Elephas maximus indicus: one gene and its partners. The protein of the gene in region 1 binds, or shares a complex with, the protein of each later gene. Links are inferred from orthologs where the notes say so. Each region holds a gene or a part of one and is shown on either strand. Other genes may lie near its edges.

The links.
Region 2: TAF5 (region 1) and TAF11 share a complex: the UniProt entries of both Homo sapiens proteins name them as parts of the TFIID basal transcription factor complex. The link is inferred for Elephas maximus indicus from reciprocal best matches to the Homo sapiens genes TAF5 and TAF11.
Region 3: TAF5 (region 1) and TAF13 share a complex: the UniProt entries of both Homo sapiens proteins name them as parts of the TFIID basal transcription factor complex. The link is inferred for Elephas maximus indicus from reciprocal best matches to the Homo sapiens genes TAF5 and TAF13.
Region 4: TAF5 (region 1) and TAF6 share a complex: the UniProt entries of both Homo sapiens proteins name them as parts of the TFIID basal transcription factor complex. The link is inferred for Elephas maximus indicus from reciprocal best matches to the Homo sapiens genes TAF5 and TAF6.

What each region holds. Positions count from the first base shown.
Region 1 is NC_064834.1:54,832,952-54,840,819, reverse strand, and holds the start of TAF5 (transcription initiation factor TFIID subunit 5), read right to left. Parts: upstream 3,017-7,868; coding exon 2,458-3,016; intron 352-2,457; coding exon 114-351; intron 1-113. UniProt on the Homo sapiens protein: The TFIID basal transcription factor complex plays a major role in the initiation of RNA polymerase II (Pol II)-dependent transcription.
Region 2 is NC_064819.1:97,761,243-97,768,530, forward strand, and holds the start of TAF11 (transcription initiation factor TFIID subunit 11), read right to left. Parts: upstream 3,003-7,288; 5' UTR 2,886-3,002; coding exon 2,715-2,885; intron 1-2,714. Other genes in the region: ANKS1A (ankyrin repeat and SAM domain-containing protein 1A), read left to right, coding at 4,362-4,558. UniProt on the Homo sapiens protein: The TFIID basal transcription factor complex plays a major role in the initiation of RNA polymerase II (Pol II)-dependent transcription.
Region 3 is NC_064821.1:172,516,697-172,524,070, reverse strand, and holds the start of TAF13 (transcription initiation factor TFIID subunit 13), read right to left. Parts: upstream 3,001-7,374; 5' UTR 2,940-3,000; coding exon 2,913-2,939; intron 2,041-2,912; coding exon 1,962-2,040; intron 1-1,961. UniProt on the Homo sapiens protein: The TFIID basal transcription factor complex plays a major role in the initiation of RNA polymerase II (Pol II)-dependent transcription.
Region 4 is NC_064830.1:91,624,030-91,631,955, reverse strand, and holds the start of TAF6 (transcription initiation factor TFIID subunit 6), read left to right. Parts: upstream 1-4,908; 5' UTR 4,909-5,140; exon of another isoform or gene 5,141-5,206; intron 5,207-7,926. Other genes in the region: CNPY4 (protein canopy homolog 4), read right to left, coding at 342-484, 578-695, 1,413-1,535, 2,151-2,247, 2,335-2,461, 4,548-4,689. UniProt on the Homo sapiens protein: The TFIID basal transcription factor complex plays a major role in the initiation of RNA polymerase II (Pol II)-dependent transcription.

The DNA of each region.
Region 1 (7,868 bases):
CACAAGTACTTTTTGAGTTGTGATCTTACATTTGTGTGGTTACAGACAGACAAACACACACTTTATATAGGTTATATACAGGTACATGTTATATAGGTTTATAAATTACATACTTCTCAAAGAACGATTTTGCTTCATTCTCATGTTGATTGTAGACTAGCTCCAAGTACATATGCACAAACAGAGGATAAAAGAGTTGGGACAGCTCTGCCCGATGGCAGTCCAGTGAACATTCGATGAAGTGTTTAAGTCCACTATAGTATTCTTCATACATCGCAGGATCTCCTTGCTGGTTGTAAGCTGATAGCACAGCACTAACATCCGGCTGGTCTTCCACAGCTACACTTCCAACTGTTTAAAAAAGGTAAAACAACTTTCAAGAAAATGACCTGATGATATGTACCATGTGGCATGGCTATTTTGCTAAAGTTCAGGGGTGAGTTGTTGCTAAGATATGCTTGTCTCTCTTCTCAATTTCTCCTCTCCCAGCGTAATCACATGGTCTTCTAGTGGGAGTTTTCACTTTGTTTCATTCAGCCAGGCCAAAACCCTATATTTAGCTTATCCGTATCTTAAGATAAATATTGAAAATCAACAACAAAGATTCAATACTTTTCCTATAGTTACCTTATTTTACGTGCAAATTTTATAAAAGATGATATGTATAAATCAAACAACTATGTTAATCTTCTCCCAAGGCTCAGTGCAAATGGCATACCGCTCCCACCACCACCACCAGGAAGCCATGCCCTGGAGTAACATTCCCAGGTCTCTGTGCTGCCTAAGTACTTTGTAACTTTCCTGTAACATATCCTATCCTGTGTTACCCTCACATGTATACATCTATGCCCCTTCGAAAATGTAAGAATTTTAAGAGTGAGAAGGACCATGCCTTCCTCTAAAGATAATTAATTCAAATTGAGTTGTTAAAAACCAATTTCAATAACCACCATTTCAAAGCAGAAAACATGACTAAAAATACATTTAAAAAAACTTGTAACATAGCAATACCAAATAATGATATATCTGTCAGTTTAATCAAAGTTTGGTTGCTGAAAATTTTTGTAAGTTTCAATTATATTACTGGTATGCTCTTTACTGCATAAATGTTATCAATTTTTGTGGTTACTCTGATGGCCTGTTTTATTATTAGTTTCTCAGTTATGATCTTTAAAAACAGGCCAAGTTTCTGGAGAGATGAGAGATTATAGCCACATAACCAATAACACAATTCATCTATCTTATAGTTTATTAACAAAATTCTTAATTCACACTATTCAGAAAAGATTCCTCTCCATCACATTTTTACATATTTATATTTATGGATACAGTGCTATGTATTCATGCTTCACTTCTGGCAATGCTGCAAAGATTAGGTCTCATAAATAAAAGTTAACAAGGCTAGGGACTCTGCACTAGATAATTTAATTCAAAAAAGACTTATTGTTGGCTCAGGATCACCTTTGAGACCTTACACTATGTGTGAGATTAACCGCATGGACTTTGTGACAATAGTTGCTTGGGGGGCAGGGGGATATCAGGTGTCAGGGATGGATACCAAGGCATAAACCTATCAATGCCAATCATTCTATATACATTATATTTAATCCTCACAATAACCCATTTAATAGAAAAAAAAAACTCAACTCAACTTTAGGGAAAATAACTTAATTAGTATCGCACAAGTAAAAGAAGCAGGGACAGAATCTGAACCCAGGTCTGTCCAACCCCCTATTCCTAAACTAATGGTTCTCAAACTTTGCCATACATTAATACCCCTTGGAGGCATTGATTTAAAATGCAGATTCCCAGACTCCACCTCTAGAGGGTCTAATTCACTAAGCCTAAAGCGATGTCCAGAAATCTGCACTTTAATAAGCATCATCAAAAAATTTTAACACTAGTGGCACTTAGCCCATATTTTGAGAAACGCTGCCTACACTATGTTCCATCACTTCCTGACTAGTCCAAAGCAAGTCTCTTGACCTTTCTCGGTCTGTTTTCTCATCTCTAACATAGAGGCAATGTCTACCTCACAGTGGAACTGTGATAACTAAAATATGTAACTTAAAAAAAAAAAAAGTCCTTTTAAATTACGCTAGTACGGAACTGTACAAATATTGTTAGTGTTAATGCAGACCTGTCCAAGGCTCAGAAGCCCAAAAGCCCAAATGAGAGAAGAGGGGTCAAATGCCTGAAGGTCCCTGCCGCTCAGCGTCTACTTTCTCCCATACAGCCTCAGTACAACAGCTCTCCTCAGCATCTAGCTGAAACTGACAGCTCGGGAGAGGGTTTGACTGCGCAGCCGGAGCACCAGAGAAAGGGGCGGGCATGTGGCCCTAGAGGCGGGCCCAGGAAATTCAAAACAAGCCCGCAGAGGTGCAGGCCTGCCAGCCCCTGCGTTCCCGGCTTGCTCCCTTCATGCCAGCCCTGCTTCCCCGGGACTCTGCGGCTCACCTTTCCCCGGAGCCGCAGTACCTGAGGCTGAGCCCGAGACAGTGACGACCCCCGACGCGCCGGTGCTCGGAGGGTCGGGGGCTGCCGGGCCGGGGGCCGAGGCGGTGACTCGGCTGAGAAGTGCGCTAGCCGCCTCGGCCCCGGTACCGTCCGCTTCTCCTGGGGCTCCGGAGCCCGCCACTGCCTCCTCCAACAGCCGGGCTTCGCGGCGCAGAGCCTCTTCGGCCTCGCGGAGGTTGCTCTGCCGTAGGAACTGCAGCACTGCCAGCAGAGTCTGTCGGTCGTGGGGAGCACCGACCTCCGGAGCTGCGGCGGGCACCGGGGCCGCCCCCGCCGGGGCAACGGTGGAGACAGCCACCACGGGCTTTGGGGTCCCGCCATCCCCACCGGCCGACGACGCCGCCGCAACGTTCCCGCCGCCACCGTTGGGGCCGTTGTTGGTAGTGCCGCCGCCACCCTCGCCAGCGCCGTCCCCTGCCTGCGGAGGTAGCAGCGTTGGCGGTCCCTCAGGCTCTAGCTTGACCGCCACCTCCGTCTGCTCCTCCGCCAGCGCCGCCATCTTGCGGCTGAGCCAGTTCGCGCCGTCAAGCGTGGTTGCGTTTTCGCCACATGGAGGGCGGGGAAGGAGTATTTCACGACAGCTCTGGAGGGCAATTTACGGCAGTAGGAGGAGCGAGAAAAAAAAGGAGAAAAGGAATAGGAGCCAAGAGCAATTTTCAAAAGTGTAAAGAAAGGCAGGAAGTATGGTTTGGTGACCGCCTATTACATCTTGTCTGAAAATAGTTATCCTTTAATGCAGACCAGCTATATCCAGGTACTGTGAGAGACGTTTTACATTTTATGACTTCCTTTTACAGTCTTATAAAGTACTATTTTCTCGACATTACAGATGTGAAGCCGAGCCCCAAGGAGTTTAAATGATTTGAAAAAGCCACACAAGAAGTAAGCGACAGTGTCAAGATTCGAATCCAGGTCTTTAAGTCAAAAGCACATTTGCCAGGGAGAAGCTTCTGAAATACTGGTAATGTTTAATATTTGACCTGGACAGTGGTCTTTTTTGTCTTTTTTTAGCCATTTTTACTTTTTGTAGGAATTAAGCTACATGCTCAAGATTTGTGAATTTACAGCATATATGTTATGTTTCAATAAAAAAAAGTTTTTAAGTACCTGAATTTTGTGAAATGTGTACACTCTGCATTCATGCTGTTGTCCATTATTACAAATACACTGCATTTTAATTTTATACTTAAAAATAACATGCCATTTTGGGATATGCATCATAGGTTATAAACCCCTGCTGCATATTTTATTTCATTTGAGCCTCACAACTCTGGGATAGGTACAGATGAGGGAAGTGAGCCTGGGGCCTTGGGGTGATCAAGCACAATTGTTCAGGTTGTGGGTTTTGAGGTCTTACTGGCTTTGTTTGAATCCCTGCCTACCTCTTCCTAGCTCAATCACCTGAAGCAAGTTACTTAACTCACCATACCTCAGTTGCCTAATTTCTAAAATAATAATACCTACATCACAGAATTTTTTTTTCATAGAATTATTGTGAGGATTAGGTGAGAAAATGTGTATGTGATACCTGATGTTGTTAGTTGTCCCCAAGTTGATTCCAGCTCATGGCAAACCATGTGTGTGTCAGAGTAGAACTGTGCTCCATGGTGTATTCAAGTCTGTGACCTTTCGGAAGCAGACCACCAGGCCTGTCTTCTGAGGCGCCTTTGGGTGGGTTTGAGCCACCAACCTTTTGGCCAGTAGTTGAGCACCTATTTGTGCCACCCAGGGACTCCATGTGATGCCCAGCACATAATAAATAAACCTGTTGTCATGGAGTGGATTTTGACTCATAGTGACCCCATAGGGTTTCTGAAGCTGTAATCCTTACTAAAGCAGACTGCCACACCTTTCTCCCACAGAGTGGCTGGTGGGTTTTACTAACCTTTCAGTTAGCAGTCAAGAGCTTAAACCTTTGCACCAACAGGGTTTCTATTACATAATAATTAGTCCTTCATTATTTTTACTTCAGTTTAAAAGGTGTTCTGCAAATGTTTAATCAAGAAAGTCCAGTGATGATGTTCAGGATGTGGTCTTGGGACTGAAATATAAAACTAATTGGATGTCTTAAGTACAAATATGAGACATGGGGTGTAAAAAAAGAGAGCCATGAGCAAGAATTGGTTAGCCTTTACTCAGCACTGGCCAAGAGAGGGCAAACCTGAATCTGATGGTAGATTCTTGTGAGATGGGAAGAATTCAGCCTTTTTCTCAAACCCATTCAGCTTTCATTTTTATGATTCAGTACTCACTAATTAACTTAGTTAACTTACTTTATTAGTTTTCCAGGCACTACATAGATGGGAGAAACCATGAATAACAAGCTGAAATGTGCTTACTGGAAAGATGTTTTACTCCATTGTGAATAATAAATTAACATTCTGATGCATACATTAACCTCTTGAATCAGGTCCTGGGAACTGGATCCACTTGGACCAAGATGCTGGGTCCCACAAAAATACAGCAACCCCCTACACCCCGGCCCTATGAGGTCTACCTCTTCCCTAGCTTTCTCAATTAACTTTCAAAGGTTTAGGTTGGGACTTCTGCCAGGTTACTTACTCCATGTGCAATGATTTTTGCTACACCACAATAGAAATAAGTTTATTGAGTGCCTGCAAGGACCGTTTTTATTTTTTGCTTCTCATTTTCCCTTCATCCCTGTCCCCTACTCCCATTCTCCTCCCACTTCCTTCCAGGAGTCTTTGAGAAGACTGGCATCCAATTTCTCCACATCCTCACCAGCATCTGAATTTTGAATTATAGATAGAAACCCTTTCCTTTCACCCAGGTTATAGAGAAATTCACCCATGTTTTCTTCTAGAGGAACCAATATGATATTTTTTGTTGGTTGGTTGTTTTCCAATTAGATCCCTATTTAATTTGGGATTTAATCTTATCTTTTTCGAATGTGTTTCAGAGGTTCCATGACTTCTTCAAGTTTAGCAATTCACTGAAAGTGCTCACAAGACTTAGTCGCAGGTCATGCTCATGGTTAAGGATTTTTATAGCAAAGGATACAGGGCAAAAGGAGCAGGAAAACAATGTGCATTGGCAGAGTGCAGAGGGACCAGGCATAGGCTTCTGCATCTTTCCCATCCAGGGCCGCCCAGAATGTGCTTTCTCTCTAGCAGCAAACTACAAGGATCCAAGTGGTATGTCTGCCCAGAAAAGCCTGTTCAAGTTTTAGGGTCTGAATCTTTTATGTAGTGCTGGTCATATGGGAGGGAGCCCTGGTGGTACATTTCTTAAAGTGCTTGGCTGTGAACTGAAAGGTTGGTGGTTTGAACCCACCAGCTGTTCCATGGGATAAAGATGTGACAGTCTGCTTTCATAAAGATTTAAAGCCTTTTCTGATGTCTAAAATCTACATGATACTGCAAAAATTCAACAACAAAAAGACAAATAACCCAATTAAAAAATGAGCAAAGATTAGAGAAATGCAAATCAAAACTACAATGAGATTCCATCTCACCCCCAACAAGGCTGGCATTAATCCAAAAAACATGAAATAATAATGTTGCAGGGGGTTGAGGAGAGACTGGAACACTTATACACTGCTGGTGGGAATGTAAAATGGTACAACCACTTTGGAAATTGATGTGGCGCTTCCTTAAGAAACTAGAAATAGATCTACCATATGATCCAGCAATCTCACTCCTTGGAATATATCCTAGAGAAATAAAAGCCTTTACACGAACAGATATATGCACACCCATGTTCGTTGCAGCACTGTTTACAATAGCAAAAAGATGGAAGCAACCAAGGTGCCCATCAATGAATGGATAAATAAATTATGGTATATTCACACAACGAAATATTATGCATCAATAAAGAACAATGATGAATCTGAAACATTTCATAACATGGAGGAATCTGGAAGGCATTATGCTGAGTGAAATTAGTCAATTGTGAAAGGACAAATATTGTATAAGACCACTATTATAAGAACTCTAGATAAAGTTTAAACACAGAAGAAAATATTCTTTGATGGTTACAAGGGTGGGGAGGGAGGGAGAGGGATATTCACTAACTAGATAAAAAAAAAATTAGTAGACAAAAAAATTTTTTAGGTTAAGAGAAGGGCAACACATAACACAGGGATGGTCAGTACAACTGGACTAAACCAAAAGCAAATAAGCTTCCTGAGTACAACCAAAAATCTTCAAAGGCCAGAGTAGCAGGGACAGAGGTCTGGGGACCATGGTTTCAGGGGACATCTAGGTCAATTGGCATAACAAAATGTATTAAGAAAACAGTCTGCATTCCACTTTGGTAAGAGGCATCTAGGGTCTTCAGTACTAGCAAGCGGCCATCTAAGGTGCATCAATTGGTCTCAGCCCACCTGGAGCAAAGGAGAATGAAGAACACCAAAGACGCAAGGTAAATATGAGCCCAAGAGACACAAAGGGCCACATAAACCAGAAAATCCATCAGCCTGAGACCCAAAGAACTAGACGGTGCCCAGCTACCACCGATCACTGCCCATCCTGACAGGCAACACAGCAGAGAATCCATGATGGAGCAGGAGAACAGTGAGATGCAGATCTTAAATTCTCATAAAAAGTCCAGGCTTAATGGTCTGACTGAGACTGCAGAGACCCTGACGGTCCTTGTCCCCGAACCCTTTGATAGGCCAAAACTGGAACAATTCCTGAAAGCAACTCTACAGACAGGGATTGGTCTGGGCTATAAGATAGACAACGATGCTGGTGAGGAGTGAACTTCATAACTCAAGTAGACACCTGAGACTATGTGGGCAACTCCTGTCTGGTGGCGAGATGAGAAGGAAGAGGGGACAAAAGCTCATTGAGTGGACATGGGGAGTTCAGGGTGGAGAGGAGGAATGTGCTGTCTCATTAAGGCAAGAACAGCTGGGAGTGCACTGCGGGTTATGTATGGCTTTTTGTATGAGAGACTGACTTGATCTATAAACTTTCACCTAAAGCACAATTAAAAAAAAAAAATTACAGCCTTGGAAACACTATGGGGCAGTTCTACTCTGTTCTGTAGGGTCACTATGAGTCAGGATCGACTCGTCGACAGTGGGTTGGGTTTGGTTTGGTTCTTATTGAGGAGTCCCTGGATGGCTCAAATGGTTAATGCCCTCAGCTGCTAACTGAAGAGTTGGCAGTTCAGGTCCAACCAGAGGCACCTCAGAAGAAAGGCCTGGCATTCTACTTCCAAAAAGATCAGCCATTGAAAACCCTATGGAGCTCAATTCTACTCTGAGACGCATGGGATTGCCATGAGTCAGAACAACTCAACAGTTTTGGGGGCACATGGGAAATATATCTTGCTACACAGCCAGCCAGTCATGGCAACTGAAACTAAGGACCCATCAATGAAAC
Region 2 (7,288 bases), on another chromosome or scaffold:
ACTAACTTTTCTACTGTATCAAGCAACCTTTTATTTCCCTTTGCTAGAATGAAAACTATTGAAGATAGTCTCCTACTATTTATAAATCTCCCCCATAAACATTTAACAGACTTTTACTCATGCTAGTTGTTCAATAAAATTCTGTTTAATTAAAAAATATATATATATATACACACACACACAAACTTTATCCTCTTGAAGTCAATACAGAATCTAAGGGTACAACAAAACTCACGAATGAGATTTATCCTGTTTCCCTTAAAGAGGAATTCACATTTAAACTCATACAGGAATATGGGAATGGAGGGTGGGTGGGAGTGAAGATAGACATGCTTTTCAAATTTCTTCTCTAGTTAATGATTTATATAAAAATTCTAACCTCTTTGTGCTTCAATTTTGGTGATTTATATTTTCCTAGCAAATCATTCATTTTTCTTAGATTTTCTATGAGTCGGAATCAACTCGACGGCAGGTTTGGGTTTAGGTTTTCAAATTTGTTTGGCCTAAACTTGAACATTAAATTTTCTCCTAACTTTAAGGATCTCCATATCAGTGCTTATAGCCCCTTTCTTATTTTGTAATGTTGTACGTTTACATTTCAAATAATCAGGTCTTAACTTTATGATTTCTTAACGTTTTTCAAGGGCTAATTCGCTAATGTTTACTTTTATCCTAATTAGCTCTTTGTTCCTACATTCTTCTGGTTTATTTTGCTTTTTTTTTTTTCTGATTTCTTGAGTTGGGTGCTTATTTTCGATATTGTTCACTCACTAACAAAAATATTTAAGGCTGTGAATTTTTCTCCAAGTTAGACTTTGGTCAAATTCCATAGTGTTTGATACAGACTGTTCTTTTTGTTAATTTCTTTAAGGACTATTTAAAATGACCCAGTGATTAGTTTATTGTTAATTTCAGGATTTACTGCCTTAAGTTGGAACCGACTCTAGGGCAACTAACAAGAATAACAATTGCACTGTACTAACAGAACGTGGCCTATTATGATTTCTACATTTATGAATTTACGTTTCTCTTTGTGGCCTAGTACATGATCAATTTTTAAAAGTGTTTCAGAAGTATCAAAAAAGAACCTATATTCTCTGTTGGCTGCAAAGTTCTATTTGTAGTGAGTTCTCTATTGCTAGGTGGTGTTATTAGTTGCCATCTAGTCAGCCTGGATTCCTGGGCGACCCTATGTAGAACATATTGAAATGTTGCCCAGTCCTGTGCCATCTTTGTGATCACTGGCATGTTTTATCCCATTGTTACAGCTATTGTTTAGCGCCTTCCAACCTAGGGGGTTCATCTTCCAGTGCTATGTCGCACAATATTCTGTTGTGATCCATAGGGTTTTCACTGGATAATTTTCAGAAGTAGCTTGCCCGGCCTTTCATCCTAGTCTGTCTTAGTCTGAAAGCTCCATTGAAACTTGTCCACCATGGGTGACCCTGCTGGTATTTCAAATACCGATGGCATAGCTTCCAGCATCACAGCAACACATAAGCCACTACAGTACAACAAACAGACAGATGGTAGAGCTCTCCATTGGACCAAGCTAATTATTATTTAAATCCTTTCTGTCCTTGGGACATCTTTTAAAGGCTCTTTCTTAAAATAGTTTTTGTCACATCTTTTTTTCTAAAACTTACTTTGTATATTTGGAGGCAACTTTGTGCCCCGAAAGGCTATTTCCATCTAATCTAATGTGGATTCCACGATCTCTTAAGTCCTTTCTAGCTCTAAGACCCCAAGATTCTATCTCTAGAAATGAAACACAGAGAATGCTGAGATTCTGGTCACTTGGCAGATCCTCAGCTAGGCAACACTCTGAGCTCTGGGGGTGGCATAACCGATGGGTCTGACGTTTTTATGCTCTATAGACTCTTTGACATTTGCACACAGGTCACTGTACTTGGTAGCAGTTAAATGTCCCAAGAGAGTAAGAATGTCTCTCTTCAAAGTCTCCTTTTAATGGGATCTTATCGGTTCTGTCATCTATAAAGACAAAAGTTATGCTTAACCAACATCTAAGAGTGCCCATGGGTGCACTGGTGGCCCAGTGGTAGAACTCTCCCATGCGGCAGACCCAGGTTGGATTCCCGGCCAGTGGACCTCATGCACTGCCACTCCCTCAGTGGAGGCCTGCCTGTAGCTATGATGCTGAACAGGTTTCGGTGGAGCTTCCAGAGTAAGACAGATTTAAGGCCTGGCGTCTACTTTAGAATATCAACCAATGAAAACCCTATACAACCCAATGGTCCAATACAACCCATCATGGGGATGGTGCAGAACCGGGCAGTATTTCGATCTGTTGTGCATGGTGTTGCTATGAGTCTGGCCGACTCTATGGCAGCTAACAAGAGGACTCATATTTTGGTGAAAAAGATACTAGGCCAATAGCCGGTAATCCTGGGTTCTAGTACTGGCTCTTGCACTAAGTCTCGATGTGACATCGGGCCCTAACTTCTTCACCAAAGACTGTTTAAAATTCCCTTAGAAGTAGTTTAATTCCTAAGAGTAGGGATTAAAAATATTAACCCTGTACGTGGGCCTCTGGAATGTAACCAGCACTAGGCTTTTTTCCCATGACTGACGATCTAGACAGTGTTGTGAATTTGAGCTCTTGTAGCTTAGGAGGGACCAACCAAGAAGCCTGGCGAGCACCCAGTAACCTAGTCTCGGTGTACTCCTCCCGCCTAAACAACACACCTCCCTACCTCGCCTTCTTCCACCGGGGTTTCTTTCAATTCCCCATCTCCGTCCCCGTCAGCTTCCTCGGGTATTCCGTCCGTGTTGGCGTTCCCGGGACCCAAGGGAGCGGCGGGTGTCTCATTTGACTCCCCTGTCTCTCCACCTTTGTCCGTGGGCGACTCGCAGGCATTGTCCATCTCCGCGAGAGGCGGAGAGTAGACCGCGGCGCTGTCAGACGCGGGAGCGCTGAACCCCGCTCGGCTCAGCAGCCCCGGAGCTTACTTCCTGTCGTCGCGCTGTGATGACATCACCCCTACCGCTCGGCGGAGGGGTCAATTGGGGGCACGTAGAGCGGCTTTTGATGATCTGTTTTAACTCTTGTGGGGCGGTGGGGTGAGGGAAAATTGGGGGTACGGAGTTCAGTTTGTGGATCCTTCGCTCCGGGGTAACCAGCTTTTGTGAAGGCGCGCACTTTTGTTTACTGAAGGGCTTCTTTTTCCTTTCCGCCTTTTAAAAAATGCAATATCAGTTAACCCCCTCGTTAACCTGACTCGCTGAGTAAAGAAGCTGCGGGGATATGGAAGGAAACTCAGTTCCGTTGTGTGCTCGTGCCGCGGGATGCGGCTGCCTTTGACTGGCAAACTTCCAGGCAGAGACTCAACCGCGTACGTTTCAATTAAACAGACTGCGGGCCCGGGTTTACAATGAGTTGCTAACATTTCTATTCCGCATGCACTTAAAAAAAAAAAAAAAAGTAATACTAGATTGAGCAGAAACTATCCACTGCATTTATTCACTCCACAACTCTTGAGCGCCTACTTCGAACCAGGAACCAGTGAACAAAACAGTTCCTACCCAATTAAATGATGTTTACAACTTACCAGTAACTGGAAAGTTCGGGGCCGGTTTCACAAATCTGCCTTTTTATGTCAGTTTGGTTAATCTCATAAAAAAAAAAAAAAGGAAACAAATCCTTTCGGGGTCAAATTTTCTCCTTTGATGTTTCACTCAATGAGCCATTTCAGGAATTGGGAGGACGAAGAGGTGAGAATAGATCTATTTTAAAACCTTCCTCTGTTTCCTCCTTCGAGCTCATTAATAAAGTCCGGGAAAAGGGCACGTTTTATTCACCTATCACTAGGTCCCCGCGCCCATTAGATATTTAACTTGTGCGTGCTTAAAGAATAAACTTGGGAATGTAGGTGCGCGTTACCATATTTCTCTCTTTGTTTCTGCACTGCCTGGATGAATTACCGTATTTCCTGTCCCGTGGGCTCCCAAAACCTTCGGTAAAGGAGCGCACTTTGGGAGGCGTGTACAGGTAGACCTCGTTTGTCCCCTTCCACTTGGATAGCGAATGGCCACACGGTGTCGTCCCCTGGCCCCTCGAGCCCTATCCCTACAGCGGAGTCCACTTCGCGTTGGCCCAGCCACCTGAGCCCGCCCTCCCAGCCCCGCCCAGCTAGGTGGGCAAGGGGGCGGGGCTCGGGGGCGCGGTGACGCGTGACGCCAGATCCCGGAAGTGACGCGCGCGTGGGGAAAAGGCGGGGGGGAGGGGGGTGGTGTCCCCGGCCGGTTTGGGGGGTGCGTTGCCCGGAGACGGAAAGTTTGGGAGCCTGCTCGGGCTCTGCTGCGGCCCCGGGGCTGGGGTCTAGGGGGCGTCGGCCCTGGGGATGGGGAAGGAGCAGGAGCTGCTGGAGGCGGCCCGCACCGGGCACCTCCCGGCGGTGGAGAAGCTGCTGTCCGGGAAGCGGCTCTCCTCCGGCTTCGGCGGCGGCGGAGGCGGCTCCGGGGGCGGCGGCGGCGGCGGCGGCGGCGGCGGCGGCGGCGGCCTCGGCTCCTCCAGCCACCCCCTCTCCAGTCTGCTCAGGTGGGTACGCGCGGGGACCGGGCCGCCGCCTGGAGATCCCCCTCTCCCGCCCATCTCCTGGTCCCCAGAGAGGTCGGGGCTCCTGAGACCTGGGCGGGGTGGGCTGCGGGTTGAGCGGGGCGAGGACAGGCGGCCCACCGGACCGAGAACTGGAGGGGGCGCTGGTCCGGGTCCGCGCGGCCACGGGCTTTCCTCCCGTGTCCTACCCGGGTGCGAAGAATGGTGGGAGTGCCCAGGTGGCACCCTCCGCCTCATGGCACAGCTCGGCTTCACCCTTACCCGGTATAGGGTGCCAGCTGTGGCATCTCACAAGCCGATTTAGAGCAAAAAAATAAGTATTTTAAACCTCCCTCACCTCCTGCCGAAACTCCCACGCCTTGCAGAATTTCGCGGCTCTCCTGGAAGAAATTCTGTTGATTCTTTAGGAACTTAAAACCTTCTTCCAGGCTCTGCAGGACCTGGCTTTTGTTTATATTAAAATTGTCTTTGGATTTGTCAGATTCAAAGTGTTCTTCTTTGAGCCCGCCTTGCGCTTGAAGTTCGAATTCTAGTTCCTTGTACTGCACTTCACTGGATTAGTCTGTTAGTGACATATGCAGGATTCATCAGGGGATTTATTCATCAAGAAATAAAGATTTAGAAAGAGTTGTTTAGGAAACGGAGGGGTTCTTTAAACTTTTCCAAGATCTGTTGTTAAAATAAACACTTAGGTCTAGAGTTGAAAGGATTGAAGGAAAAGGCCACTGTTTGTGGCTTGGAAGGGGGTTTGAAGGTCCTTCGTCACTGCGAGTTAAATTTTGTTATTTCAGCAGCGCTTTCATACCCTGTTTTCTTTTCCTTCCTTGTTCTTTGAGGTTTTTAAGATGTGGAAGTTCATTTAGAAATGGCTTCGTTAGCATTTGTTCCCCATTAGTTTATTTAACTGCGATTTGAATGTGCTTGAACGAGGTTTTAATAAATTGTTAAGTTTTAAACACTGAGTACCAACCCAGGTGTATACAGAAGGATCTTAAAAAGCAGTGTAAGGGAACTAACTCTCCCCAGGAGCGTCTTTTGGGAGGCAAAACCGTGTGCTATTCACTGCTGTCTCCCCATCCTGTAAAACAATGCCAGCACATAGTAAGTACTAAATATTTGACGAATAAATAAAACCATGAAGTAGAAAACCATAAATTTCTAAATAAACTGATTGGTACTCGCTGTAATTGTTAGTAGTTTGGAGAAAGGAGAGATTGCTTTTGGATGACATGGGGGTCAGGGGAGGCTTCCAGGAGAAGGGGGACTTTAGCTGGCCTTGAAGGATGCAAGGACTTGGATAGGCGAAGTCCTGTGAGCTAGAGCTTTCCAGGTGGGCACACCATGGTTAGAAGCACAAAAGTGGGAAAGGAATGGCGCTAGTGGAACGCTAAATTAAGCCAAACCCATTGCTGTTGAGTCAATTCCAACTCTTAAGGAGAATTTCCCACCTGGAGCCTTGACTGTGGTTGGGTGCGATAAAGCAAAATAATGGATGGATCTGAATTCAGAATGACTTAGCCCTTCTCATGTTTATATTTCCAGCACTGAGGTCAGTGCCTGACAACTCACAGGTGCTCTGTAAATGTGCATTGAATGTACGAATCAGGTTTTGAGTCTTACCTGGATTACTTCCATACTTTGCAGTTATGATGTCCGAGAGATGGGGAAAGACTATAGAAGTTTGGAGATGTGTCTGCCTCTAATGAATGGAAAGATGCAGTATTTGGAGGTTTGCCAGAGATGTCTTAAACCTGCAGCATACTCTGCTGAAGCGAGAAACTTTCATATATCTCCTCCCCCCAAGTACAGGTCAAGTCACTCTTAGTGCCCTCGTTCAGGGACTGTTGGAATTTTGTTGAGATTTAGCTGTCACATAGTTTTGCAAGACTAGGAAATCTCCGTTGAGCACAGTGTTTTTACTTTGGGCCTCATGCTCATGTATGTGTTCTGTGTCTGTCATAAAGGGTGGGTGGTGTCTCCATTCTCCTGAGTAAAAGAGCTGACGCCTGACTTACTCCTGTGTGTGGTGTTGAAACAGCAGAAGGCCTAGAACTGCCCTAGCCTCTCATTCCTGCGACTCCTGGGGGCAGGGAGGATGTGCAGGCACTAGTTATAATAGGTGTGTCATTAATTACAACCATCTCAGTGGTGACTCTGGTTAAAATGAGTGAAAGATTTCTGAGCAAATGAGACCATGCATTTAAATAATCCCAGGTCAGCATGTCCTCCCTTTTTAGGCTTAGAAATAGTGAAAGGTAGGCCCTCTGTACCCCCACTTCAAGGACCCTGAGTTAGCTGTGGAGTCATAACGTTAATACGGCTATAGAATCAAAACTTTAGAGTTGGTTTTTGTCTTAGCTGCCGTCTCCCACCCCACCAGTCCTGCCAACTGCAATCCTGCATTGGTGCAGCTCTTTGAGTGACTGAGTAAAACTGGCAGGAATGGGGGCTTAAAGCTGCAGAGGGTATAAATGTTCCAAACCCCATGTGTGCTTATGTTTACTCATCTATTATGACCCTCCTTATTCTACAATGGCTTTGTACTTTGTGCCCCCTTCTCTCTGCCCGTCTCTTCTCTCATTCTACTTGGGCTTAGGTCTTAACTTCTTAAAGCCCTCCCTGATGACCCTAATACACACAGATGTCTCAGGCTTCTACTTTGGAATATATCATCTGTAGTGTTAGCTTACCTATCGACAATTCTTTGCTTGC
Region 3 (7,374 bases), on another chromosome or scaffold:
TTAGCCCAAGACAGGAACCATTCCCAAAGCCAACTCTTCAGACAGGGATTGGACTAAACTATGGGATAGAAAATAATACTGGTGAGGAGGGAGTTTCTTGGATCAACTAGACACATAAGACTATGTGGGCAGCTCCTGTCTGGAGGGGAGATGAGAAGGCAGAGGAGGTCAGAAGCTGGCTGAACGGACAGAAAAAGAGTAGGTGGAGAGAAGGAATGTGTATCTCGTTAGGGGGAGCACAATGAGGAGTATATAGCAAGGTGTATATAAATTTTTGTATGAGACTGACTTGATTTGTAATCTTTCACTTAAAGCACAATAAAAAAAAAAAAAAGATTACAACCTTGGAAACTCTATATGGCAGTTCACCTCTGTCCTACAGCACAGAACCTACTCAGATGATATTAGTTTTCCACTAATGTCCTTATCCTGTTCCAGGATCCAACTCAGGACCCCACACTGCATTTGGCTGTCATACCTCCTTCATTTCCTACCATCTATGACAGCTCCTCAGTCTCTCCTTGTCTTTCATAACCTTGACACTTTTGAAGAATACCGGGTTTGTCAGATGCTTTCCCATGATTAGGTTGAGGTTATGCATTCCAGGGGAGGCTATCTGCCTTTCTCAATGCATCATATCGTATCAGTATATATTACTGGTGATGTTAACTTTGATTAATTGGTTAAAGTGATATCTGCCAGGATTTGCCCCCTATAAATTTACTATTTTTCCTTAAATATCTTGAGAGATTATTTTCTTGCTCTCATTTTGATGGGTGGAATTCACCGGTAGGGAAATATGTTTCTCTGGAAAAGGGTAATTTATATTAGAAGTATATAAACTGTATTTGGTATAAGGGTTTATAAAGGCATGAACAAATCCCAGTGAATGCTCTGAAACATCTCATGTTATATTAAAATTTTTCTAAAAAGAGGATTCAGGAAAACAGCTCTTGATCACTAAGATATATGAACACTCAGGTAAGACAAGAATGCTGTGAAGATTCCAAATTCTTGTCATCACAAAGATAACTGACGTGGAACAAAGGTCTCTGCTAAGAACTAATTATGCAAGCATCACTCCCAGATGCTCTGTTGTGGGGTCCCCTTTCTTATACTGACATAATAGTTATTAAAACCACATACAAATGGCATAAGTAGCATCAGAGATGGAATAAGGAGTGGTCAAGTAAGCTCTGCGTTAGGGGAGGAATTGAGATACAGAGAAGGATTTATGTGGTTTAAAAAAAAAAGGCATACTGACCCTGTGATTTCAACAGTATTTGAGAACTGCTCATGTCTGATCCAGGATAAATACACCAGGTATTCATAAATCTGTGTTGCCTCATCTGTCAATACCCATGGTCATAGCTACATTTAAAAGACCCTGGAATGGGAGATGGAGAGCACATTCTCATGGTGCCTTTGGACAAGGGGGGGTATGTCTTGATGATCAGTACTCACAGCAGCTCTCCTTCCCTCTTGCCAAAAAGGGTCAAAACTGTCTACTGAGTGAGCAGGATAGAGAATCGATACATTTTATCTCTGTGGCACTGTAATGCCTCACACTGTTCACCTGCCCTCCTGCCTTGTCCACCACCTCAGTCCAAATCCCCAACTTTGTTCCTACTCTCAAGCACATGTGTTCCCAGGATTCACCTGTGACTTACAGTCAAAGGAGTTTTTGCTCCTCCTGCTGCAAAAGGGAAGGACAGGAAAAGTAATGGCGATATGTTTTTACGCGCTGAATTGAAACACTGGTCACATGTCCTCCTTAAAATATACATAAAAATTGGGGTTAGGACCATTACTATCCAAAAGTTAAACAGGATGTTATAGGCAAGTGTGAGAACATTTTACCTACAGGGAAACATATTCAGAACGATAAACCTACTTTGATGAATGGATGTGTCCAAAACTTTGTATCATCTATAATAAAATCATTGTCAAATACAACTTACATTCTTTAGAAAAAAGTCTCTTTCTTTTGCCCTGTCCACCTTCTGCACCTCCTCCAATTTCTTCATTTTCCTCCTCAAACTAGAAGTTAAAATGTATATATTGAAATGTCATATGATTGCATTGCATTTGATTTTTAATGATTACCATTTTTTTTCCCATTATCAACACTGGTCTCAGACCAGAAAGCCCCACAAGAAGCAATAAATCATGAAACCTTAGCAATGACAAGGCCTTAAAGACTATTTAGTCCAACTTCTGACTCATGAGGAATGCTTTCTACATTGTTCCTAACAAATAATCCCACTGGCTCTCCTGAAGAGTTCCAATGACTGTAAGTTTTTTTTTTTTAACCAAATTGACCTATTGGTAGACAGTGTTACTGTCAAAAAGAGTTGTACTGAATCGAAGTTTACCTCACTGTAGTAAGCAAAACTAGTATTTACTAAGCATAGTACTAGGAGCTTTACTTAAGTAAGCCTTAACACCATGTTACAAGGAAACCGAAGCTCAGGGTTAAATAACTTGCTCACAGAGAAAACAAATTTTGAAATCCAAGCTCCCTGATATCGGTTCATTATTTTTTCACTACTTTAAAGTAAGTAAAGTTCTGTTAGTTGAACTGCTGGCTCATAACGAGCTCTAACAAATATTGGCTTTGAACTCTAATGATTCTCTACACGCTCCAAAAGGTGTCTGGAAGATATGAACCAAAACCAAACGGAAAGGTGCTACCTTCCTACTCTTCCTTCACGTCTTGCCCCACGTACTAAAAAGATGAATCCTAAGGGCTCCCTTCTTTTTTGTTTAAGGGCGAGGCGCGAGGTCCCCAAACTTTCTTGGTTCAATCACTAAGGCAACAGACTTGATTCTGAACTCGGCCTCAGAAGCCGCCGCTACTGAGCCTGAAGGAGTGAAGAAAAGAGAGAGTTGGCACAGAGGCGGTCACTCACGGTAGGGTCTTCTTCTTCATCTGCCATCTCATCAGTCAGCCAACCTCTCGCTCTAAATGGGTTTTACTACTTCCGCCTCCTCACTTCCTGTGACGTCAGGCGCGGGGCGGGGCCTAGCCGGGCAGCCGCCGGGGAGGAGTGCCAGTAGTCCTGTCTGGAGGCCTAACGGGAACAATCTCTAACGAAAGAAGGGCGAGGTCCGTCCTTCCGAGGAAAGAATTAAAAAACAGCAGAGAGAAGGCAGTCATGTCTAGGTGGCGTGTATTTCGTCGTCAGCCTACATTTGCTTTTAAGTTGGGAACTACTGTTTTCCTGATTCGGTACTGCCATTGAGGGACAAGCCAGCAGTCCTTGAACTGATGGAAAGCAAAAACAAAAACAAACCTGTTGCGGTCCGATCGATTCAGACCTATGGCGACCCTATAGAACAGAGTAGAACTGCCCCGTAGGTTTTCCAAGGAGCGGCTGCGGGATGTGAACTGCCGACCTTTTGGTTAGCGACCGTATATCATTTAACAACTGCACTACCAGGGCTCCTGAATTGGTTGAAGGTGTATTTAAACAATTTCAGCCATTTACAGTTCCACTATCATTTATTGCCAAGTACAGTGTTAGTTATTGGGGATATTGTGCTTCGTTACTAGTTCTCAAGGGGCGATACCACCTCCTAGGGTTTTTGATCATGAAAAGGAGCCCTGGTGACTCAATAGTTAAGCGCTGGGCTGCTAATTGAAAGGTCGGGGGTTGCAACCCACGAGCCGCTTCTCCCGAGAAAGATGTGGCAGTCAGCTTCCTAAAGGTTACAGCCTTGGAAACCAGATGGGGTAGTTCTATTCTGTCCTATATAAGGTCACTGTGAGTCCACGACAATGGGCGATAGGTTTTGGCTTTTTTGGACGTAACAATGATTAGGAAAACCAAGATCATTAGAGGGCCAGGGCTAGGAATATGAGATGTCCTGCAATGCTACAGATGATGCCAAATGTGAAAATTGTTCCGTAATACACACGATTTCTGAATGTCCTACTGAACATTCATGTGAGTGAAAAAACTATATTATCTGAGCTTAGAACCTAGCTTTGCTAACATAAATACAAAAATACTTCCCTACACTTTTAATGTACATTGAATTTTCTAGGAATGCTAGTACCCCGAAATTGGTTGGTGTCATGGATTGAATTGTGCCAATCTATGTCATCTGATGTGATTTTCCTATGTGTTGTAAATCCTATCGCTATGAGATGATTATTAGCAGTTATATCGATGAGATCTACAAGATTAGATGGTGTCTTCAGCCAGTCTCTTTTGAGATAAAAAGAGAAGTGAGCAGAGAGACATGAGGACCTCATACCACCAAGAAAGCAGTGCCAGGAACAAAGCACATCCTTCGGACCCAAGGTTTCTGCACTGAGATGCTCCCAGACTAAGTTGATGATAAGGACCTTCCTTCAGAGCCGACAGAGAGAGAAAGCTTCCCCCTGGAGCTGACACCCTGAATTTGGACTTCTAGCTTACTAGACACTGAGAGAATAAACTTCTGTTTGTTGAAGCCATCCACTTGTGGTATTTCTGTTATTGCAGCACTAGATGACTAAGACAGTAGGTGTATTGGCTATTTATTGCTGTGTAATAAATTACCCAAAAATGTACTAACTTAAAACAACATCTATCACACAATTTCTGTGGGTCAGAAATCTGGATGCAGTTTATCCGGGCACCTCTGACTCAAGGTCTCTCTAGTGTTGCAGTCAGGGTGTTGTCTCATCTGAAGGGTCAATGGGGAAGGATCCACTTTCAAAATCACTCACGTGGTTGTCAGCAGGATTCAATTCCTTGAGGGCTGTTGGACTAAGGGCTTCAGTTCTTCATCAGCTATTGGAGTCCTCCCTCAGTTCCCTGTCACATGGTCCTCTCCATAGGACAATTCATAGGCATATGAACTGATTCCATAGGCAGCTGGCTTTTCTCAAAGAAGGTGAGCAAAACAGCCAGGGAGACTATGCAAGGCAGGAGACACAATCTTTTTGGAACTTAATCTTGGAAGCGATATCCTACATAGGGTGAGAATACCAGGAAGCGGGGATCACAGTGGGCTGTCTTAGAAGCCACCTACCCTAGTAGATCCTATTATCTGTGAATTTCATTTTCAGGATAATAAAAGGGGCATTATATTTGTTATTTAAGGGGGATTATTGAGTTCAGTGGAGCCCTGGTGGTGCAGTGGTTAAGCATTTGGCTGCTAACCAAAAGGTCAGCAGTTGGGATCCACCATCCACTCCTTGGAAACCCTATGGGGAAGTTCTATTCTGTCCTACAGGGTCACTACGAGTTGGAATCGACTAGACAGCAACAGGTTTGGTTTGTTTTTTTTTTTTTGGTATTGAGTCCGATAGGACTGAGAACCACTATATTAGGCAGTAATGAAAGACTGGACTTGTCCAGGGGGTCAGGTATGAAATATTCCCAGTTGTTAGGGATTGAATTGTGTCCCCCCGAGATGTGTGTCAGCTTGGCTAGGCATGATTCCTGTTATTGTGCAGTTGTCCACCATTTTGTGATCTGATGTGATTATTCTATGTGTTGTAAATCTTCTATGATGTTAATGAGGCAGGATTAGAGGCAGTTATATTAATGAGGCAGGACTCAATCTACAGGATTAGGTTGTATCTTGAGTCAATTTCTTTTGAAATATAAAAGAAGCGAGCAGAGAGGAGAGGGACTTCATACCACCAAAAAAGGAAATGCTGGGAGCAGAGCAAATTATTTGGTCCCAGGGTACCTCCACAGAGAAGCTGCTAGATCAGCAAGAAGACTGATGACAAGGACCTTCCCCAGGAGCTGACAAAGAAAGAAAGCATTCCCCAGGAGCTGGCGCCCTGAATTCAGACTTCTGGCTTCCTAGACTGTGAGAGAATAAGTTTCTGTTTGTTAAAGCCATCACTTGTGGCATTTCCGTTATAATAGCACTAGATGGCTAAGACACCAGTGTTCATTCAGGGGAGTGGATAGGTAAACTGTGCTGGGTGCACACCAAGGGGTACTATGCAGCAGTCAGAAGGAAAATATTAGCAACATGGATGCAGCTTAAACACATAGAGCTAATTGGTGTGGTGGCTATAAGAGCTGGACGGCTAACTGAAAGGTCAGCTGTTTGAACCCACTAGCCATTCCACAGGAGAAAGAGGTGGCAGTCTGCTTGCATAAAGATTACAGCCTTGGAAACCCTATAGGGCAGTTCTACTCTGTACTATAGGATTGCTATGAGTTGGAATTGATGGAACAGCAGTGTTTGTTTGTTTTTTTAAGTAAAAAAACAATACACAATGAGAACTATAGCATGATACCATTTATGTAAATTAAAATTATATGCACACAAAACAATATACATTTTACAGGAACATATAAACAAAAGCATAGGCATTAAACACATTGGAAACGTTGCAGGGTAGGAGGAATAGGAATAGGGATAAAAGGAAATAAATAGCTTAATAACATGAGAAGGGCTTTGGAAGGGCCAATTACAATAGTCACAAACCATGGGGCATGAATAATTATACACTGAACCTGAAATCCAAAATAGAAAATAAAGTGAAAAAAAAGTTGCAGCACGATGAGCAGAGCAGAAATAAAACACAGAATGAAAAGTCACGGCATGTTTCTACAAGATGCTCTGGATGGGTTGCCAGAGACAAGTTTGTTGGGTAGGGATACAGGAAATGAAGCTGGGATGAGGCTGGGATTAGACTGTGCAAGGCCTTGACTTGAGATGACCCCTGGGCATTCATTACCCTAGCTATGCCTCTGGTGGGGTAACTTTTTGTGAAATAAACATTATTTTAATTGGTTTCTTAGCTTCTTTTCTTCATTGTTCCTCTAGTCAGATGGAGACCATTTGCTGTACCTTAGATACCTGCTTGCTCACAAGATTTTAAGACCCCAGATGCCAAGCAGCTTCCCAAAAAACAAACCCATTGCCACTGAGTTGTTACCAACTCATAGTGACCCCCTAGGACAGTGTGGAACTGCCCCATAGGGTTTCCAAGGCTGTACTCTTTACAGAAGCAAACTGCCACATCTTTCTCCTGCAGAGCAGCTGGTAGGTTCAAACCACCAACCTTTTGGTTATTAGCCGAGTGTACCACCTGGGCTCCTTATGTCAAATAGTTTAGTAGCTTGATAATAATATACAGGTAGTCCCCCAATGACATATTAGAGTTAGGAGGAACCACACTTACAATCATCCTCTTTTTTTTTTTTTTGTACATCTTACAGTTAGTAATATGTACTGAGAGGCAGATTATCCACTAAGCAAGTAACCATAGTGTTTACCTTGCTTACCAGATCATCTGTAGCAAACAATTTCACTACAGATTAGTAAATAAACACAAGTAAACGTGTGCTTACCTTGTTTACCTTGTCATCTGCACCTATCCAGGACTGCAAATTTAAAAAGAGGTTTTGA
Region 4 (7,926 bases), on another chromosome or scaffold:
GCCCCAAAGTCACTGCTGACCTCTGGAAGCAATAGAGATATTTAAAGGGGAAAGCCTTGGGTATTGTCAGCACACACACCTGCCATTCAAGGTGCTGGATGGCAGGCAGAGGGCCCATCTATTGGGGCAGGACTTCAACCTGCTGCTCCCAGCCTCTCCCAGTAGTATGCCATGCTGTACCACCAGGATCCTGCCTAGCCTCAGATAGGAGAGAACAGCTACAAGCCCTGGAATGGGTCACTCACACAACATACAGCATTAAAGCTGTGGGGCAGGGAAAGCTCATACGTCAGAAGGTTCTTCTCCATGACCCCTGCCCTTCCTGGGGGCTCCAAGACAAGTCAAAGGTCCTCTGGGTCATGCTTGGGGTGGCCTGGTGTCTTGGTTACCTCTTCTTCCTCCTCTTCATGCTCCTCCTCCCCTTCTGTTTTCTCTTGTCTATCTGTGATCTCCTCCTTTCCAGTCCAAGTTTCCTCTAGACACGCTAGGTTGGGTGACAGAAGATGGTTTAGATATTGGTCCTGGAAATAGGGGAGGTTGTGACCTCGCAGGAAAGGAGCCCAGCCCACACACTTACCAGTTTCTGCAGCTGGAAGCACGTGCCTTTTACAGAGAAAATGCTGTAGGGGCTGCTCCTGGTGGTGGAAGTACCAGTCTCCCACAACGTCTTCGAACTCCTCCAGCATTGTTTCACACTAGTCAGGAGGAAGGGCCAAAAGGGCGTCTGTTCTGCTGGGCTTCGGAAACCCTCCTCTCTGCTCTCCACTTCCTGTCTCCCCTATCCCACCTGGCTGACCTTGGAGAGGCAGGCAGCCTGGGTTTTAAGCTTGGCTTACTAGATGTGTGATGCCCATTCACTCAATAAACATTTCCTAGCACCTACTCTGTGCCAGGGAGTTTATTGAACTTCTCTGAATCTCAGCTCCTTGCCTGTAAAATGGGGAATGGTAATAGTACTTGCCTCAAGAGGTTGTTGTGAGGGTAAATGAGGCAGCAGCTGGGAAGTATGGCCTCCTGAATCTGGCACATAGCAAGTGCTCAATAAGCAGTTAAAAAACCAAATCCATTGCCATCGAGTTGATTCCAACTCATAGTAGCCCTATAGGACAGAGTAGAACTGCCCCATAGCGTTTCCAAAGAGCAGCTGGTGGATTCCAACTGCCAACCTTTTGGTTATCAGCCGAGCTCTAATCAGAGCTCCCACAATAAGCCGTAGGGGTTATTTATTAGCCTCTGTTATCACTTCTTGGTATTCTCCCAAGCCCACTTCAATTCACGGTAGTCTTCATTTTACCACTTCTGCCCTCTTCTCCCTGCTCAGAGGTAGACGTCTCCTACTGTCAAATTCTAGGACCCAGTTCTCCTCTCAGGTCCCCTTCTCCCCCCTCGGGCAGCACAATATCTTATCCTACCTGCTTCTTGAGGAACGTGACCTCCACACTGGGCTCGTCCCACAGCTCCAGAGGTATCCCCAGATCCACCTTCACCCCCTTCTGAACCAGGCCTCTCAGCGTTGCCATGGTCTGACTCTGGCCCTGAGAGATGAGGAATTTGGGTTCAGAGATGTAGTGGGGTGCGGGGGTTAGATGGGTGCAGAGTGGGGCACTTGCCCCGAGATGCAAGTTGAAGGGGGTGCCAGATGACATGCGGAATAACATTTCGAGGCGCCACAAATATGAAAACTGGCTCAGCCAGACAAGAGGCGATAAGGTGTTTCTGCTGACAAGTTGCCACTATCGAAGGCTATGCATCTTGAAATTGGGGTGGGGACACAACTTAGAGATCGCCTCTGGGTGCTCAAATTTGGGGAAGGCATGTAATATAGAGATTGCCCCTGGGTGCTTGAATGTGAGGGACTCCAAGCAACTTAGAGATTGCCCCTGGGCACTGGTTACGCTCACTATACCCCTGTATGGGATCAGCCTGCTGGCCACCTCTTTCTTCCTCTTTCCCACCATATCCACTTTGTCAACTACTGGAGACTGAGGAGTGAATTCCATGAAGGTGAGAGGGGGGAGTCTGATGATGGGAAGGGGACACTGGAGATGGGGAGTGATGGGCAGACATCTCTTGTGGACCTCAGGGAATATAAGTCTTTGTCTCTAAGAGGTGGGATCCCCCACCATGGCTGCCCTGGAGAAGGGTCTGACCTTGGCGTATCTCAGTGAACCCTTGCGTTCAGCATGAACACTGTAATCTAGGATCCGCTCACATAAATTCTCCAAGGCCTCTTCCAGTCTTGTCTCCCTGTGGGAAGAGGGGAAATAAGGATTCCCTGGATGCTGTAGGAGTTCTCAGGGCTCTTACAGTGAAGGGACACCAAGGAAGACTCACGAAATGCTGTAAGGGACGTGTCTCTTCCTCTTGCCTGTGTCCAGCACCTGCCCCAGCTCCAGCATCTCTCGAGATCGACCAGTGCGGCTCAGCTCCTCCTGTAGCTCCAGGCTCAGCAGCTTACAGACTTACGGAATAAAGACGTTCAAGGAGATGTGAGAGAAAAACAAACACACCAGCACCTCATTCTGCAGATGACCAAAGGCAGCACAGCATGACGGTTAAGTATAGGCTCTGGGGCCAGTCTAACTGGTAGAATCCTGGCTCAGCCACTTAGTGGCTGTGTGACAATCTTGCTGTGCCTTGGTTCTTCATCTCTAAAATGGAGATAATGAAAGTATCTCCCTCAAAGGGGTACGGCGAAGATGAAATAAGTTAATATATGTAAGGCCCCTAGAATAATGCCTGGCACACAGTGAGCACTGTATATACGTTTGCTGTTATTTTGCAATTATTTATTGAGTGACTTTTGTATGCACACTAATATAGACAGCAATAAAACCCACAATCCCTATCCATGGGACATGTGACACTGCCAGTGTAGACAGACAGATGATGACAATATGGTGCAATGGACTCTACACTAGGGATTCAGATAAAGAGACATCCTCATGAGGAAACACAAAATTCATTCAACAGTGATTTCCTGAAGAGCAAACATCACTCCTGCTCTGCCACAGTATTTCCGGCACCTAGCACGCGACCTGGTACGTGGTGGGTCCCAATAAAAGCGTATGACCAATACAGAAGTGACAGGCAAACTAAATACTGGAGCAAGTAACAAAAGTGCCTAAAACGTACCAGGTGCTATGCTAGGGCTTGGAATACACAGACACACCCTGTCCCTCAAGGAGCATGATACAGTGGGAGGTGACACATGAGGAAAAAGACTTCCAGAGGAGGTAATGTTTAAACTGGGTCTTGAAGAATAGGTAGGTGCTTACCAGACACAGAAGGAGAGGGTCACTCCAGGCAAAGGGAAGAACAATGTGCAAAGGCAAGAGGTGCAAGAGGATAAGGCAGAGTCGGTGACCGGTGACCAGTGAGAAGTTCAGTGTGGCTGGGGCCGTTTTGGGATAGGGGATGGGAAAACGGAAATATAAGAAAGGTTACAGCAAAGATACTTAAGACACTATGCCCAAAATGTTAGCTGTATTCTGATCACAGTAAGAGGATTGTAGGGGTGTTAAAATAAGGACAAGCGGATGGACACGCTTATGTCTGTGTTCAGAAAGGATGATGGATGTTGCCGGGTGGAGAGAAGAGTGGGGACACAGAAGTGAAGGGAGAAGAGAGCTTAGGACCAGAGTCTGAGAAACACTGCTACTGATATGCAGTAAGGGATGAGGTGAAGAGAAAAAGGATCCAGGGAAGAAATTACCATCAGGAAGGCAACAAACTAGGGACACCAGGGCACCTGATTACCCAGCTCTGAAGTGCCCCTCCCAGGTTGGGCCCACACTAACGCAGCCACAGAAGATGCTGCTTGCTGTAAAATCCATACAGTGCACACCCTCTACAAGGCCTCACATCATAGGGAAACTCACAGCAGTGTGACCTCCTCTTTGGTTTATGAGCTTGAAGGGTGGAGTTGCTCACTCCCAGCCCCCCTCAGGGGTGCACAGGTCCTGTAATTTGAGAGCCTCTCTGTGGAGCTGGGACAGAGGATGTCCACAGGTATGAACCTCACACGTGGCTCCGGCACGCCCTCCAGATTTAGGTCCAGTGACAAGGGGCACGCACACACACACACCCGAAGATGCTCAGTACGCAGTAGGCAGTCCTGGGCATAGTCCCTGAAATACAATTCCCACAAACCATGGGGGCCCAACCTCGCAAGACAAAGGGGGCTCCCTCTGGATGTCTCATGGGAACTGTACTGCCATAGTCTTGAGATCGCACTATGCCATTCCCTTCCTTGATCTCTTTCGAATTTTGCCAAGTTCACCGAACCGCCTACAGGCATTCAAGAAGGTCGAGTGACCTATCCATCACGGTCCCTTTGGTCGTATCAGTCCTTTCTTTAACACCCCTGCAGTCCTCTTACTGTGAGCAGAATACAGCCAATGTTTCTAGCAATAGCATACAAGTCTCTTTACTGTATGGCCCCAACCTTTCTTACATTCCCATCCTCCCACCCTCATCCCAAACGCGCTCCCAGCCGAGGGAAGTGCGGCAGGGGGATACAGATAGATGCTACTCCCTTTAGATACCTTCGCATTTGCTGGGCAAGCGTTCTAAGTCATCGTCCTGCTCCTTCGGCGTTCTGGCCCGAGCCCCAAACACTGCCAAAACGAAAAACAACGTCCCCAAACGCACAGGTCCCATGACAAAGTGCGGTCCACGAACAACCATTCTTCTATTTCCGAACCAACTTTTGCAAGGCAGCGGGCCCTTTAAATTCAGAGGGAGGGGTGGACGGCTGCTGGAAATCCAGCCTAGCAGCTCGAGCGCGTGCGCAGTGCCCACCGAAGGAGGCGGGGCCTTACGTACTTCTGGGCTTCCCCGCCCAGGTTTGGTGGCGCCTCCTGAAGGTCCTGGCCGACGGGTAGTGAAGGAATAAATCAGAGTAATTGGGACGGGAGAGAGTACTCCTTCCCACATATTTAGAAACAGTGTTTTTATATCATTTCAGGACGTAAGGCTAGGGGACTCGTTCCAGCTCCGCGGAGGGGCCGTGTATTGTTGTCCTCTGCCCGGACCTGCTCCCTAGAGGGGGCGGGCCCAACATGGCGCCCAGCGCCGGGTGAGCGGCGCTTTGGCGGCGGTGAGAGACTTTGCAGGCTTGGACGCTCGGCTGGCGGGGGTGGGTCTGAGTGATACCAGGGACAAGACCCCCAAAAGGTCCCTTGTGGGGACCGGCAAGAGGACGGTTGGTTGTGTGTCCCTGCGCGTGGGGACCCCCGTGTGTGTGTTTGCATTGAAGGATGTTGGGGGAGATGGGGTGGGCTCTCTGAGCCTTTGCTCGCACTGTACCCATTGCCTGGGGGCCTTCCCCCCACTTTCTCTGCTGGGAAAACTACACAGCCTGGAAGACGTAGGTCAAGCCAGCCCTCTGGGAAGCCTTCCCAGTGCCTCCACTGATCTGAGGGGCTTCTGAGGCTGTAGGGAGTTTTATGAGCCCTCATTGCACACCTGTATCTATAGGGCCCAATGCGGGGGTAGCAGAAAGACAGATACGTAGTCAACCTCCAGTGGGAAACGTCCTGAAAAGGACCAGATTCTGGGGACAACGGCGGGGGAGTGATTAGTTCTGTTGGGGAGTGGGGTGGCTTCGCTGAGGGGAGGTGAGTACCGCTGGATGTTGGAGGATTGATAGGAATTCTTGTGTACCCAGCACCAGGCACAGCATATGTGTTGAATAAATGTGTTCCCTACAGGTACATAAAAATGTAGCTATAAAATGGGAGAGGAGACCTGGGATGGTTTGAGAAGAGCCAAATTCTCCTGCGTCTTGCACCTTCCCCGTCTCCAGTCCTCCTTCACGCTCCCCTGCCCCCCAAGTCGGTGCTGAACACTATTGACCTGTATCTTCCTAATGTACAGCTCCAAGTATACTACTTTTGATCACAGAGTAGATTCCAAGCTTGGGCCTGTATCTTATTCATCTTGGCAGTAGTGATGCCGAGTATTTATTGAACACCTACGTGGTATATACAAACATCTCTAAGCCTTACAATTCATTCAAATATTTATTGAGGGTCTACCTTGCCTTAGTCATTGCCTGGGCTCTTGGAATACATCAGTGAACATAACAGACAAATATCCCTGTCCTCATGGAGCTCACATGGTGGTAGTAAACAATAAGAAATTATAGAATATATTAGATGTTAAATGCTGGCGGGGGGGGGGAGGGGAGGAACAAAGTAGAGCAGAATGAGGGTGGGATGGAATGTTAAATAGAGTGGTCACAGTAGGCAGCCAAGCAGATATCTTGGGGAGAGCATTCCAGGCCAAAGGAACAGAGCAAAGACTATAAATCAAGAGTATGCCTGGCAGCTTCAAAAAACAGCAAAGAGGACAGTGTGGCTGGAGGTGGAAAAGGGAAAGAAAGGAAGTCAGAGATAAAATGAGGATGGGGCAAACCATAAAAGCCCCTGTGGGCCATTATAAGCATTTTGGATTTTACTATAAGGCAAATGGGGAGCCATTACAATATTTTGAGCAGATAAATGACATGATGGGGTTTACATTAGATGGAATTATGTTGGCTATTAGGAATAGTTATTAGGAATAGATGTAGGTAGGTGAGGGTAGAAGCTGGGAGACCTTGTTAAGAAGTTTTTGAAGATATCCTGGGAAGAGATGATGGTGACGTGGGCCAAGATGTTGGAAGTGGGGGAATCAGAGTGGGTCCGATGTGAGGGTTCAGATAAAGATTGAGTGCCTGCATGGACGGCACTGCTGTAAGTGAAGATTAGGAAAGCTGAGCCTGGAACAGGTGGGTAGAGATCAGGAGTTCAGTTTTAGTGGAGCTTTTGAGGAGGCAGTTGAGTATACAAGTCTAGAATTGGGGAGAAAGATCTGGGCTGGGGATATAAGTTTGCCCCATAGAAGTGGTTGAGATCACCAGAGAAGTAAATGTAGCTAGAGAAGAAGACCAAGGACTGAGCCCAGGACACTCCAAAATTAAGCAGACAGAAAAGGAAAAACCAGTAAAGGAAACAGCAAGGGAGTAGCCAGTGAGGTAGGAGGAAAACCGAGTGCAGGTAGTCTGGCAGTCAAGTGAAGAAAAGTATTTTCAGAAGAAGGCAGTGGTCAACTGTATACTGCTGAGAGGTCAAGTAAGGTGAGAACCTTGGAGTTAGTGATGTGGAATCGTTGGTGACCTTGACAAGAGCAGTTTCAGGGACATAGTGGGGGCAAAAGCCTGCAGTGGGTATAAGAAGGAAAGGAAAGGAATTAGAAAGGAGTTCAAAGTCAACTCTTTCAAGGAGGTTTTTTTTTTTGTGTGTGTGCTTTAAGTGAAAGTTAACAAACCAAGTCAGTCTTTCATACAAAAACTTATATACGCTTTGTTATATACTCCTCGTTGCTCTCTCTGTAATGAGACAGCACAATCCTTCCCTCCACTCTATTTTCGTATCCATTCAGCCAGCTTCTGACCCCCTCTGCCCTCTCCTCTCTTCTCCAGAGAGGAGCTGCCCCCAACATCTCATGTGTCTACTTGATCCAAGAAGCTCATGCTTCACCAGTATCATTTTCTGTCCTATAGTCCAGTCCAATCCATGTCTGAAGAGTTGGCTTTTGGCATGGTTCCTGTCTTGGGTTAACAGAAGGACCATGACCTCTGGGGTCCTTCTAATCTCAGTCAGACCATTAAATCTGGTCTTCTTATGAGACTTTGAGGTCTTCATCCCACTGCTCTCCTGCTCCCTCAGGGATTCTCTGTTGTGTTCCCTGTCAGGGCAGTCATCGGTTGTAGCTGGGCACCATCTAGTTCTTCTGGTCTCAGGCTGATGTAGTCTCTGGTTTATATGGCCCTTTCTGTCACTTGGGCTCATAATTACCTTGTGTCTTTGGTGTTCTTCATTCTCCTTTGCTCCATGTGGGTTGAGACCAATCAATGCATCTTAGATGGCTGCTTGCTAG